Linked DNA regions of Oreochromis niloticus. The protein of the gene in region 1 purifies or fractionates together with the protein of each later gene. This does not show direct contact. Links are inferred from orthologs where the notes say so. Each region holds a gene or a part of one and is shown in the gene's direction. Other genes may lie near its edges.

Region 1 (6,870 bases):
TGTACGAACGCTGCCTGACACTGCTCCGTCCACTGGACCAGATCTGGGGCGAGATCAGTCAAGGGGCTGATCAGGTCTGTGAAGCCTGGCATAAACTGGCAGTAGTACCCAGCCAGCCCGTGGTTAAATCCAGTGTTGTGAAAAAACGAGCAGTGCGTACCTGGTCCAGGAGCTCGGCTCCCCTTGCTTTCACTCTGTCTTTCCTCACTGCAGACTCCTATGGGAGTCACTGACAAACTTATGTTTACAGCTAGATAGCGCAATGAAAAAACACCTCTAAGTGCTGGGTGAATCCTACAGAACTAGACATGCAGTATAGAATGAAAATATACATTAGGCACTATTCTCAGGAACCAAGAATGCCTGCGGTGAAAATTCTGGCTTCGAGGTAAACCAGTACGAAACAAACATTTAAAGACTACATTTTATGAATATCAAAGATAAAGTTATCCATGAGAAAGAAAAATACACTCCTCAAAACGTGAAGTATAAACCGGAAACATCAACAGTTCCCCTAGATATATTTTTCTTACTTGGTTATCGTCTTAATGTAAGTCCCATGTGACCCCATCATGAATAATCCACAGCCGGGCTGGGTGCAGCAGGTCGAATCGGACCCCTTTGACTCCTCTGAGCTAGCGGCAGCTGTTTGCAAAGGCTGCATGTGCTCGCGCCGTCTTGGCGGGATAATCGGTGAAAACCGAGATGGTCATATTGTTCACCTTGATCCACTGAAGCTCCCTTGCCCTCGAAAGGATTTTAACACAGTCAGTGTAGTAATGTAGTTAGCTACTATGGCACAGGGCCGCTCTTGTGTCTTGGGCTTGGGAGCCAGAGTACGGTGAGCGCGATCTAGCAGCGGCTCCTCTGGGAGGTCAAAGGCCTCCTTTAGCAACTGCGAATCGGCATCCGTGGATGCTGACAATGGGTCGTCTTTCAGAACACCAATGATGCGGATGTTTTGACACCTGGACTCCAAATCGTCACATTTATCCTCCAACTTGGCCACCGCCTTAGTTAGATGGTCCACTTTTCTCTGGAGGCTGATGATGTCGTCAGTACAGGTGGACAGGGATCGCTGCATCTCGGTAACCGTTACCTTTAGTTAGGTGAAACTCTCCTACTCTACTTTGAGAGCACAGACACGGCTACTATCGGCAGCCTGGGCCCCAGTCGCCAACTCAGGACAGGTCAAGGGCTCATCAGGAGAGGCTGCAGGCGAGGCTGGATCAAGTTTCCTCATTTAGTCGGCTTTGGTGGCATTTTAGTGACCAAAATATAAAAGTTTACAATTGTAAAAGGACTTAGATATTGCTTGGGGTCGAGTCAGAGAAAAAGTGCTCAGTAATAATTGAAAAAAACCACCCAACTCTGCAGGAGCTCACCGAAACGCTACTCAGACCAAACCGCCATTAGCTGGAGTCCAGCTCTGTTTACGATACAAGATATTTTCCATTGAGTGGGCCCTCTTGTTGGAACGGCTCCACCAGCTCAGCTGTCGGTCTGAATAGGGACTAATGGAAAAGGGACTTAGGCTACGTCCACACTAATGCGTTTTCGTTTGAAAATGCATAGTTTTTTCTCCGTTTTGGCCAACCGTCCACACTGAGACGGCGCTTTCCCCAAGGAAAACGAAGCGTTTTGAAAACGCTCTCGAAAAGGAATACATTTGAAGACGGTGCGTTTGCGTCACAGTGTGGACAGTGAAAACGGAGACTTTCTAAAGCGATGACGCATTCTCACTCGCTTTTGCAACTTTGTACTTTTGTGTTACTCGCAGCAACAACTCCACCTCATTGTTAGTCCATTTAAAAAACTCGGTGCTTTTCCTCGACATTCTGCCGCGACGTTTCAAAGAGCCGGAAAGTAAATGAACGGCAGACAGAAATGAGGCAGGCCGAATCTTCTTGCGCTTCACGCATGTGCTAGACTGGAACCTAAGTATTTTTAGCCGTTTCAATGTGGATGCACAACTCTGTGAAAAAGACTGAAAACGCTAGTGTGGATGTGAAGCATTTTCAGACGAAAACGCCGTTTTCAAATCTATCTGGGCTAGTGTGGACGTAGTCTTAGGCATCCTTGGCCACCTTCAGGCACTGCTTCACCTCCTGCTGTGCTGACTTGATAACTGTCCTGTCCTTGGTTCTGAAGGCCTCCTTCTTCCTGCTGAGGACAGCTTTGACACCCTCTGTTATCCACAGTTTGATGTTGGATTTGGACTCGTATGAAAAGGGGAAAAAATTCAGTTTAAAATATTGAGCCAATGCCAAATAATAACGTTGGGTTTGTAACACTCATTCCTTCAGCACTCTTTAAAGGTTGAATTTCCCGTGTTGGCTGGTAATAACTAGCTCAATGGATTAGTTCACTCAACATATTGTGACAGGATGACATCATGTAAAAAACTAGCATCTATTTTTGTCTTTCATCAGTGACCCAGTCAGCTACTCTCCAGCTGCACTATTTTCCCACCAAAGATTTTATTTATTTATTTTCTATTTTTGTTTCCGCTCAAGTCCCCGCAGGAAAAATGACATCAGCGCTTCTCACGCTCTTTATGCCTTTTTCTTCTGAGCTGTCCCTCTCTTTCTCTCCTACTCTCAGTATTTCCCTCATGTGGATTGTGGAAACATTGTTGGTTTAGTTCATAACCTGATCTCTCCATATCCAGCACATGATGGCTCACACTACAATATTACTGATTTTACAGTATTGTGATGCAGCCATGTACAACAAAGAGACAACAAGACAGCTCTTCTTATGACTTTACAAAAAGTTTTGATTTTTTTGATTTTTTTTCTTTTTTTTCAAAGTCCATCTGCTGTGTTAGTCAGCCTCCCCTGACACCACACGGCCCCCAGCAGACCCATGGCTGATTTCCTCTCCCAGTTAGGGGGGTGGGGCTGACCAACACAGCAGATCTCCATCAGCTAATCATCCCTCCTCTCTTTAAGTCGGCTGTTGCGAGCAGTGCTGGACTGAGCTGGAGTGTGACAGCTGGAAAGCTGCACAAACAGACTGATAGGTCCTTCTGTTACAAGCATAGAGCATATTATTGGTCTCCGGTCCTTTGAATGTTGAATCAGTCTAAAGAAGTGGGCATCGTACTGGATTCACTTTATCCGGCGAGGATCGCTCTGATTTTGAAACAGAACTGTGACCCTACTTTCATCTCATAGTACAAACCTGTATCTCTCCTTTCAGTCTAAGCAAAAACCAGGATCTAATCATCTGAAAACTTATACTGCCAAAATCATACTTCTGGATCAGACAAAGTTCATACCCAGTGGGCATATTCATTTCAACATGCAGAGACTCTTTGGTATCATCCATATCCCTGCTCACAGCAGGGAGGATTCAGTTGTATCTCTCTTTGTGCCGAGAAGGCTTTTGCTCAAGTTGAACGGCCTTTTGGTCGACGACTTTTCCCCTCTTCCTGTATCATTTGGGGTGGTTGGAACAAGTGGTGTAAAAGATCATTATGATGCTCGAGCCATTTCCTTATCAAGGCTGAGTGGAACTGAGTCTACACCCAGTCTTTGGCTAAAATCTTGCATATCTGAGGCACAGCTGTAGGAAGTGATAGATTTCTGGCTGATCTTTATGAGTGGCCATTGCTCTGTCTCTCTCTCTTTCTGCCTGGGAATTTTTACAGGTAGCTTGTGACATCTATGTAACACACAGAGATTCATTCAACATTCATTTAGGATGGATGGATTGATGCAGGCTGTAATTAAATTACTTCAAACACAGAGCACCAACTTTTTCTTCAGTTTGCCTTCTTTGTCTGCTTGTGGCTGGTTGCTTTATCCTGTTGATGGTGTGGCCAGTTGTCCCAGTCAGCACAGGGAATCCCATTATTTTAAACATTTGATCATGCTGCTTCAGCAAAGTTCTTCCAGTTATACAAGAATAGCAGCAATTTCCCAACCTTAGAGTTAAATGATACTCAGAGCAATTAGATTTCCAGGCTATTGCACTGACCTCTGCTCGAGTACATATGTGTTTTTAGAAAAGAGGTAACGTGCAAGACCCTGAAAATTGGTATGTGGGGGAGGCGGGGGTGAGCACTCTGCTGTGCTTCATATACTAAACTAAATGGTAAATGGCCTGTATTTGTATAGCGCTTTACTTAGTCCCTATGGACCCCAAAGCGCTTTACACTACATTCAGTCATCCACCCATTCACAACAGGTGATGGCAAGCTACATTGTAGCCACGGCTGCCCTGGGGTGCACTGACAGAGGCGAGGTTTTACCAAATGGGGCTATTTAATTTTACCATCAGCTTTGATAGCTTTCTGCCTAAACCCTAAACTGGATAAGCAGATAAGAAGATGAATGTATGTGGGGACTTTTATCTATAGTAAATTAAAAGTTAATGACATGTGAAAGAAAAACTAATGCTAACTCATTTCGATATAAAATGGGAAAGGGATACGCCACATAAACTACATTACCCATAAGCTCTTAGAACGGAACCGCACAGAGAGCTCATTTATTGGCTGAAGAGCTGCAGCGGTAATCACGTGACTGCCGTCATCCGGGTAGCCATGGTTGTATATAAAGACCCGCTGTGGGGGGGAGGGGGTCTAGTTCAAACAACAGTCGATATTCAGTGCAGACGGAGGATATTATTTTGGCTGCGGAGTCAGAGTTTCTTTGTAAGTTTTTAAATATGGTACGTATTACATGTCGTATTAACGAAACATTATAACGACACACTCTGTTTAGGTAGTTTGTTTGAAACAAATCTTAATTTGGTAGCGTTGCATTTTCTTTATTAGTTAACAGTTGGCCGCTAGCATTGGCTGGTGTAGTGGATTAGCATGCTAAATACCCACTGGCTTCACTGGGGAAGCGCTAGCATGGCTAGCGAATATTAAGCGGACCTTAAGTTAATGTTGAGCTACAATAAGGCGCGTTTCGGCGGAGGCACACTAACAGTACTGGTGTTTTACAGGCTGGTGGTAAAGCTGGTAAAGACTCTGGAAAGACCAAGACCAAAGCGATTTCGCGCTCTCAGAGAGCAGGACTGCAGGTTTGTCCCCAAATTTCATTCATTTTCTCGGTTGCGCAAGCACGCGCTATTAGCCAAAAGTCAGTGGTTCTTTGTCGGTGGCGGGCTCTCATCGAGCGGCCAGCACGGCTTTGCTTCTGTTCACTCGTGTCACATTATCCCCGCAGTTCCCGGTAGGCCGTATCCACAGACACCTCAAGTCCAGAACAACGAGCCACGGCAGAGTAGGAGCCACCGCGGCGGTGTACAGCGCGGCTATTCTCGAATACCTTACTGCTGAGGTGACCCTAAGCTCCGTTTATCTTGCACTTCGTTGCTTGAGGTGTTGATCTTTTTGTAAAGGCTGTGTCTCTTTCAGGTTCTAGAGTTGGCAGGAAATGCATCAAAGGACCTTAAAGTAAAGCGTATAACCCCACGCCACTTGCAGCTGGCTATTAGAGGAGATGAAGAGCTGGATTCACTTATCAAGGCCACTATTGCAGGCGGAGGTACGAACATTACAGAGAACTGTGTGATGGTCTTATACTCCCGTACTGTAGTGGTTTACACATTTTGTTGAGGCACAAATCCCTTTTGTGTTGCATCTGGTGTAAAACTGTAACATCAACACTGTTGTGGCAACTCTGTTACAAGGGAGCAGCTGAAAGTGGTTACTGAAATGAAAACTTAACCGTTCAAGTATATAAACTGTTATAACATTTATTTTTTCCAGGCGTGATCCCGCACATCCACAAATCTCTGATCGGGAAGAAGGGCCAGCAGAAGACTGTATAACCTGAAGTGTTCAGCAAGTTGTGCCATCTCAGGATGAAGTCTGCATCAAGTGGTTAAATGTCTTAGATTAGTAATCTTACATTATTTTATGGTAGTGTGCATTTACTACTCTGGGTGGGGTTTGTTTTTGGGTTTTTTGTTTTTTTTAATAGTGGGCCCCTCCCCTCTCCTGCAGGTTTTTGGGGGTGGGGGGCGGCTCCAGCCGGCTTGTCTTGGATGTATACGTGTATTTGGCCTTTCTGTTTTTAATCTTCACAGCTTTGAAAGGAGCTCACAGCCACCAAACCTAGTCGATACGGAGTACAGGATGTGCATAGCTTTTGTGAAAACTCAAGATGTGCTTGTGCTTTGTATGTACCTTTAATGCAGACCATCCATTTCAGCCTTGTATTTCAAAGCATGTTCATTCTCTTTACCACTGGACTGTCATGGACCGGTTCATAACCTTGTTGGTATTTTTGGATTCCTGAATAAAGACTGGATTTGGCACAGTCTGAGTGTTTCCCCTAGTCTTTGTCTTATTCTCTTTGAACAGAGTGCTGTGACTTTCCTCTTAATCATGCAGTGATGTATGACTACAGGTGGCGTAATGTGAAGCTTTGGCTTTCATTCCACTTTTGTTCAGTTTTACACAAAATTGGAGGAATGCCAATGGGCTCGTTAGGTGAGCTGGCTACATGCAGTGTTTTAGATTTATTTTTTTAAATACTTGAGGTCTACTGAATATTCAAACTTATTTGCTAATATGCACTGAAATTCTCATGGGTGCAAATGACTGAAAAGTCAGAACTCCAATCTTTGGTGGTTGGAGTTGGTTCAAATTTTCAAAGCCAGCCAGACCTTTATTTGATTACATGGCCCAAGTACTGATGAATCCACGCACTACATCTGATGGCGGATCTTATATTTCTAAGTATGTCTAACACTTTCTTCACAACAAGGTGCTGGGTTTACATCCACGACCTGGCTGGGCCTTCCTTTATGGTTTGCATGGGTTCTTTGAGTATTTGGGCAGCCTCCTGCAGTTAGTGGGGTTGGGTAAATTAATCCTAGTTACCCACAGGTGTGACAGGTTGG
Region 2 (7,801 bases), on another chromosome or scaffold:
CAGGCAGCTGTGGAGACTCAGGCAGCCGCGGTTGTCGGTGCAATTCCCGGTCCGAACAGTGTGGGAGGGATCGCGCCTGCTGTCAGTGAGTATCACCTGCCCCACACCGCCAATGACAGACAGGCACAGGTGTAATTTTCACTGTTTGGACCAGAGCGCAGACGGTAACTCTTAAATCAGTGACAAGACCAAGACCGTGTGCACCAACATTTAAGTATTTTTGTCGTTTCATAAAGTATTTAAACAAAAGATTAGTAATTTCGAAAAATGAAACTGTCAGCTGTGTGTGTGTGTGTGTGTGTGTGTGTGTGTGTGTGTGAAGCGCCTCCTGCTGGACACACTGTGACTGTGAGGGACTAAAAGCGTGAATGAAATCTTGTTTGAGAAGACGGAGAGTTATTGGCCTAATATCTGTGAGCTGATGGGCAGGGTAAGGCTGAAGCAGGAAGTGTGTGGAAGGTGAAGCGAGGCCTTCAACGAGTTCTCACTGATCTCTGATTTTAAGACCTGCAGCTCGAATGTTTCACAGAAAAAGGTCCAAACACAGTCAGAGCTGAGACACAGATGTAATCTGATTACCTGATTCTCCAGCACGGAGGACCAACAATCAAACATCCATAAGAAATAAATCAATACCTCAGTAAATGGATTCATATCTGTCAGTGCAAAACGATAATTAAAAATTAAATGTAGCCATTAATTATAAGGTAATGAGAAGACGCCTGTGGGTCAGTCAGCTGGTGACCTCACTATGATTGACGGGCGTCTCTCCCGGAATAAAGAGGTTCAAATTCATAAAACGGGAAAAGGAGAAATCAAAAAATAAACTGGGTGACAAAAGCGTATCGATGAATCAATAAAATAAAACATGAACCAGACGCAGTACTTAAAGGACTTACCTGCAGAGTGAATTGAGTCAGATTCGTGTTGGACATTTTGGGCCTCAGTGCAACTTCCTGCTTTTTCATGCGTTTAATCTTATTTCGCTCCGTTTTTAAGGTGGGCGGCCTCGGCCCTCCGTGTAAGCCTCCTGGTTTTAATTTCACACGTTTTTGTTTCTGTGTGTCTCACCTGTGCTTTCTGCCGCAGGTGTGCGCTCAGCGGCCGGTCTGGGCGTGGACGACCTCCGCAGGCTGTGCATCGTGCGGCTGAGCTTCGTCAAAGGGTGGGGGTGTGACTACCCACGGCAGAGCATCAAGGACACCCCCTGCTGGCTGGAGGTGCACCTGCACAGAGCGCTGCAGCTGCTTGACCAGGTGCTGCACACGCTGCCGCCGCGAGAGCACGCACTCTAGGACCTCCGCCGACAAACACACCGGAGCAGGTCATCGGTCGGTTCACACGGGTTTCAGACAATCAGCCGATCGCAGCGTCTCGTTTCTGCTGTCGTTTAAGTTCGTTTCCGTGGAAACCAGCGTGACACGTTAAAGGGTCAGCTCACGCGAAGCGTCATTGAGTTTCTGCTCGAGCACCCCCGCTGGTCTGCGGTTTATTAGCTCCACCCCCTCAACAGGTGAACTGACCCTTTAAGCCTGATGTCAGAAATCAGCTGATTACCAAAAAATCCTCGTCATCATCATCTTCCTCCTGTCGGTTTTTAGTTCCTTTAGCTGATTGTTGACCAAAGAGCCATTCCTGTTTCTTTGATGACATCACATCCTGTTTACGTTGCGTTTCTGCTCCCTCTGACAGTCACATTATTTATTCTGTCGTCTGCTTTTTTTCTCACGTTTAACTCATTTAAAGGCTTTTATACTGAAAGGGTGTAAAGCTCTGAATCATCAGCTGTCTCTTCAAATTAAAAGTCTCTGGTGGATAAAGATCTGCTTCGTCTTTGTTCGTCTTTCACTCTGCGTTCAGAAACGCTTCCATAGGAACACTCTCCTCTCCATCCACACTCAGTGATCAGGTAGGGCGCTCCCAGGAAGTCCATCAACGATCCAGGTGACCTCTGCGGTCTCAGCTGACCCGATGATTAATGATCTGCGCTGGAAACGATCAAACGAGGAGCTTCATTCATGAGAGCTGCTCCACTTAGGGCAGCAGGGAGCTGAAACAGAAACAGGCCACACCTGGTCCATAAAAAAGGCCACACCCTCTTCAATGTACTGACGCGCACACAGAAATAATCCATCAGATATCGTCAGATCCCCTGCGAGTGTCCCAGTAACCAATCAGATTTGGGCTACATCACTACTGTTACACGTGTACCTTTGTCCACGTTTTCAGATGTTTTCTGAACGTAAAACAGACGGACGAAGACGTGTTTGGCGATCGCAGGAATTAAAGCAGCGAATCCATCTTTCTTTTACAGATTTAATCTTACTGGTTTGTGAAGAGATTCTTCATGAATAAAGGCCAAGTTACGAAGAGGAAACACGAGCGCCACGCTTCTCTTACGCCCACCGTTTTTCATCAAAACCGAGGAAATTAGGAAGACAGGCCGCGTTGTAGTACCTTCATGGACCTGTTGATTAATAACCTGCACATATGTTTGGACCCACAGCTGAACTCTGAGTCAGTGTAAAGGGTCTGAGCTTTAGTGAAATGAGGTTCGCAATTCAGTCTGCTGTGGTTCAAATGTTCTTGAGAGTGACGGAGCTCCTCTGGATCGTCTCTGCAGCAGCAGGAGGAAGAATTATGTTTTTCATGGCTGCGTCTCGTTCATGTGACCTGCAGAAAGCAGCAGTAACAACGATGTGCTCAAGTATGTCACATGATCTGTCTGTAGTCCACATTCAGAACACTGGAGTTTCTCCACAGCTGTGGAGACATCTCAGCTCACTAGCCACTGCAATCCAGAAACAGTCCAGAGTGTAGCTAAACCCATTTTCAGTTAGTATGTTTAATTGTTTTATTCTAAAATATATCGTTTTTTAAGACCATTGTTGGTTTTCATCTAGTTTAAACCAAACCACTCTGCTGGATTTAGCTAGTAGCTAGCGAGCTGATTGGAGACCTAAACAGCCAATCAGAATTTTTGCATCCAAGTCTGTGATTGGTTGGTTTTGTGGCACATTTATAACGTTGTACAGAGAGTTAAGAGTGCAGGCAGCAGAGATGTAGAGAGCAGGTCTGCAGACGTCTGAGCACACAGAGCAGAGATCTGAGCGAGAGCGGCTGTTATTGTGTGTGTGTGTTTATGGATATTAGCAAACACTGAAACACTGAGTTTTCTTCCTTCAAAGTAATTTTCTCCTCAAAATGCAACATTTGTACTTGCAACAATGATTTCCATGCGCTCAGAATAGATGCACAAAAATAACGCCATAGATTCGAAAGAGTTTCAGGGCCACGTTAAGAACCTGTTTGCTCATGTACACCGGGTCAACGCAGTGCAGTGAAGTTAACCATATTTGCATCATAATCTCATCTCAGAGCATTCAGCAGAGAGAAGATCTGCTCTCTGTTCTCAGCGTGCTCACCATGACCTAAAACTTCAAAATAAATAGAATAGAATAGCTTCCATTGTCACTACACACATGCCCCATACACACATAAGATCCAGAGCATCTGTGTTGAAGAAAACCAACCAAAATGAAAACATGGCCGCCTGTACATGCATGCAACACCAAGCACCTGGTGAGGAAATGGAAGTTAGACGCTAAAGAACAGCATCACACAGAGGTCCAACACTGCCCTCTGCAGGCATGCACAAGTCACAGTCTAAATGTGATTGGAGGAGCTGAAAGAGTCAAATCTGACCAGCGCACAGGGTTGGTGGAACCAAATGGCAGCAGTGCTGAAAATGCTGATGGAGAAAAAGTTTCCAACTGTTACAGAGAGTGAATGATTGTTGGCTGTCCCTCCCTGAGCCTGGTTCTGCTGGAGGAGTCTTCCTGTTAAAAGGGAGTTTTTCCTTCCCCCTGTCACCACGTGCTTGCTCATAGGGGGTTTTCTCTGTATTATTGAAGGCTCTTTACCTTACAACATAAAGCACCTTAAGGCAACTGTTGTTCTCTGCAGACACACGTGTTACTGGAGCTCTGTAGACTCTTAAAGTTTGACTCTTCCAAATAACTGCCCACACAGGTGCTCGAGGCTTTCTGGCTACCTTTAGACTTGTGTCTGGAAAGACTTTGGTGGTATCTCATGTTTACCTCAGCAATCAGACAGGTGGAAGGTTAAAGGTCAGGAAAATCATGGACTCTGATTATCTGATCAAAGGAAAGTCTAAACTTAAGTGAAAATCTGTGTTTCGGTCACTTTGGTTTTTTTACAGAAAAAATGTTCAAGTAAATTATATGATTTATTTGTTTCATATTTTTCTACCACGTCACCTCCCATGGCTCTTAATAACAAGAAGAAGAAGAAGGAGAATATAACCTGTAATAAATATGAAAAGATATAGAAAATACTTTGATTAACCATGATATGAATCATGTTTATTATTGCAATAAATACTTAAAACAACAAACAGCCTCTGTGGTCAGATCAAAGGCACGAAGTTGGATGTAATAATGTGTGTATAGGTGAATTATTGATGTAAACACTGTGGTTATTTTGTGGTAATCGATGAAAAATGATCACAGTGACCATTGCAATATGGCGCCAACGAGGACAAAGAGAGGGCGCCTGTAAAGTTTAAACGTTTCATGTTCACCCTCTCATTGGTAACACTAAAGTGACGTAGTTGCATTTACAGCCACTCACAGACGAGGTCTGTGCATATTAAGATGCTAGGGGGGGGCTTAGTAAGTTGATCGTGTTTGGACCAATAACAGGTTAAGCTTCTTAAAAATATGGATATTCATTAGATGGGGGCGTGGTCTAACAGTGGAGGACCGGCAACAGCGAACATGGAGGTTTAGTTGTCGCCTTGTGTCCGTAGAAGAAGGAGTGTTTCACTGACGCGCATTTTATTTTCACTTTTCCTTTGTTATACTTTGTTTTTTCGCCCTCTGTTCGGGCTTCGACATGGAGATGAAGAAGAGGATTAGTCTGGAGCTGAGGAACAGAAATCCAGCCGAGGCAAGTAACTACAACACTTTAATTTATTTATTTCGTGAAGAAACTGGTGAAGGATGCCGTGTGAAGCCATGACGATGCTGATAACATTCAGCGTGGGCGGCCGTCGACTTTTCCCAACCCGCGGACTGATCTTCTGTCGGTGTTTTTGAACGATAAGACGCGACATGTTTGTGGCTCCAACATGGAGGAAACTCCGCTCGGTCCTGGAGGAGCCCGCGGCGTGCAGGCTCGATCCCTCTCCCGCGCTCACTTCTCGCGGGGCAGCCTCGCGCGAGCCTCCCGCAGCTAGCACACGGGCTAACAGGCTAACCTGCCGAGCGCCCAGCCCTCATAACAGAACCGCGGCCGGGGGAGCGCGCCGAGAGCCGCCGCTGGTCCTCGACGGTACCGAGAAAATGTAGTCGCGGACTGTGGCTGGGTTCGGCTGCATTTGTTTGAACACCCCGGGGTGACCGCTCGGCCGAGCAGGCTCCCATTTTAACCTTTACTGTTAGAGAGTTACTGATCCGCGATGGTCGTGCTGTGATGGCGTTTGCGGCCGGACTCCATTCTCATTTCAGCGTTTAAGCTCATATAGTTCTAAGTCAAGTCATTTTTCTATTATAACATCTTTAAAGGCTCTCCACAGTTTCCGTGTCGCCACGGGTCAGTTCGACCCAGGCGCTGTCTGAAAACGGTACGTTGTTCACAATAAATCGGAGTTTAAAGAGTTGTTGTTCAGTCTGCTGTTCCCGCCCTCCTTGCTGTGTTTTCAGGCGCACGAGTGCCGCGCGCTTAAATTTCACAAAAACTACGCGAGGTTCGGTGGGAGGCGGATTTAAACTATGGAGAGGGTTTTTAAAAAGTTTCTCACACTGCCGCACGAACAGTTTTGGTGGGTGAGGTGTGCTCTCATGTCGGTGATAGTAACGGTGAAGCTGAGCGCCGGTTTTCCGGTCACACACTAACAGCTATATGGATGAGATCCAGCGGGAGAGGTGGAGTGCTGGCCCGGGCGAAGAGCTCCGACCGAAAGTGACACTCGTTTAGTTTTCTGAAGACTCCCCAGAAACCTCTGAAACCCGGGTTTACCAGATACCTCCTCCTGATGAGCTCCTCGGCATTTCCAGCGTTAAACCACGTGGTTATTCATGTACCTGAGAACGGCCATACCTGTTTACCTGTCCTGCACATGCATGGTTCCCCCCCAAACACTCACTGTGCAAGCACCCTGCTGGATTTGTTGTTGTTGTCGTTATCAAAACATATAAGTCATGATGACCCGCGCATGCTCAAACCCAGGGCTGGTGAAGCTTTATGTGTGTTCTTTGTTATTTTTATTTCACCTTTATACAGGTAAATCTCATTGAGACACGAGGTCTCATTTTCAAGCGCGACCTGTTCTGGGTCGGTCTTGAATGTGGGTAGTGTAAAATGGCTCCACAGCTGAGGAGCCCCGCCCACTGTGTATGAAGTTGGGTGCACACCTGTAACTGTGGGCAGGGAGATGTGTGAGTGTGTAACACCCGGCAGACTGACCCCCCCGCCCCTCGCGGGCTACAGTAGTTTTTAAATGCTGAAGCGCTGGAAGATGGTTTATTTAAAACAGGGGTCCCCAATCTCAGTCCACGAGGGCCGGTGTCCCTACAGGTTTTAGATGTGTCCTTGATCCATCACAGCTGATTTTAATGAATAAATTACCTTCTCAACATGTCTTGAAGTTCTCCAGAGGCTAATCATGTGATTCAGGTGTGTTGACCCAGGGTGAGATCTAAAACCTGCAGGGACACCGGCCCTCGTGGACTGAGATTGGGGACCCCTGATTTAAAACATTATATTTTACGGTCACAGACTGCAGTCTGTGTGTACGCCACCAGGTGGCAACAGGTGTGTGTGTGTGTGTGTGTGTGAGACATGCAAGCTGAAAGTTTGAATATGTGTGATGTGTAATAGGGGTGGGTGGTATAAACGGTATAGGGTAGAAACGATATAAATTTGGCCAATGGTAGAGATTTTGACTATACCACTGTACCGTGATAGGCGCAGCTTGATGACACTATCAACATGCGCTGTTTTGGTCGAAAGCATCGCAGCGGCTGCAAACAACATCATCTGCAAATTATGCCGGGCAACAGTAACAGCAAAGAGACAAAGCACTTTTGGAATATGGGGAAAGCCAAAAACTGCGCTTCCTCCACTTCCCTACCATTGATTCATTAATGCTGAATTCCCTAACAACTGCTCTATTCCCATGTTGTAGCAGTATATTAATGACTAACCTCGTATTGTGGATGGATTATCTCAGTTCTCCTGACTGAAGTTTGGTCTGTTTACAGCATCCTGCCATGGGATTGCATTTGTCCCTAACCATCGGGAACCCTCACGTTAACTTTTATCGAGTGGAAAAAAGTTAGCGGCCATCCTTCAACTTTACTGTGCTAATGTTAATCTAACGTAGCTGTTTTGCTAGCGATCACGTAGCACATCATTATATACCACCTAGTCCAACTTCAGTAACCCTACAAATGTCACTGCTGTTTAGTTTTCTGTCTTCATTTATGTTGGAAGTGATAGCAGAGCTGTACGTAGTGCTGGGCGATATGGAAAAAATATTTATCACGATATGAATTATTTTATATCACGATAACGATATATATCATGATATACCACCTGACCTGTGCTCATCTGGAAAGTACGCAGTCTGTAAACAGCAAGTGCCGAGGGTGCAGTCTTTGTTTTGACTTACCGTAAAGTATGTCGCAAATCCGGGTGCACGTACAGCAGCACCATGTCGCAAACCACAAGACGGAGTTTGTTTGCAAAAAATATCATTTTTTTATACTTTATTTTC

What was found. Proteins that work in one complex are often made in the same cells at the same time.
Region 2: the proteins of histone H2A.Z (region 1) and acidic leucine-rich nuclear phosphoprotein 32 family member E purify together in Homo sapiens (affinity purification with mass spectrometry; 4 studies listed by BioGRID and IntAct, with this or other methods). This does not show direct contact. The link is inferred for Oreochromis niloticus from reciprocal best matches to the Homo sapiens genes H2AZ1 and ANP32E.

What each region holds. Positions count from the first base shown.
Region 1 is NC_031967.2:1,586,792-1,593,661, reverse strand, and holds histone H2A.Z, read left to right. Parts: upstream 1-4,535; 5' UTR 4,536-4,552; coding exon 4,553-4,663; exon of another isoform or gene 4,664-4,677; coding exon of another isoform or gene 4,678-4,680; intron 4,681-4,962; coding exon 4,963-5,040; intron 5,041-5,186; coding exon 5,187-5,300; intron 5,301-5,377; coding exon 5,378-5,507; intron 5,508-5,731; coding exon 5,732-5,793; 3' UTR 5,794-6,287; downstream 6,288-6,870. UniProt on the Homo sapiens protein: Variant histone H2A which replaces conventional H2A in a subset of nucleosomes. Nucleosomes wrap and compact DNA into chromatin, limiting DNA accessibility to the cellular machineries which require DNA as a template.
Region 2 is NC_031976.2:38,087,692-38,095,492, reverse strand, and holds the start of acidic leucine-rich nuclear phosphoprotein 32 family member E, read left to right. Parts: upstream 1-4,762; 5' UTR 4,763-4,917; coding exon 4,918-4,971; intron 4,972-5,058; exon of another isoform or gene 5,059-5,647; intron 5,648-7,801. Other genes in the region: mothers against decapentaplegic homolog 4, read left to right, coding at 1-85, 1,090-1,295. UniProt on the Homo sapiens protein: Histone chaperone that specifically mediates the genome-wide removal of histone H2A.Z/H2AZ1 from the nucleosome: removes H2A.Z/H2AZ1 from its normal sites of deposition, especially from enhancer and insulator regions.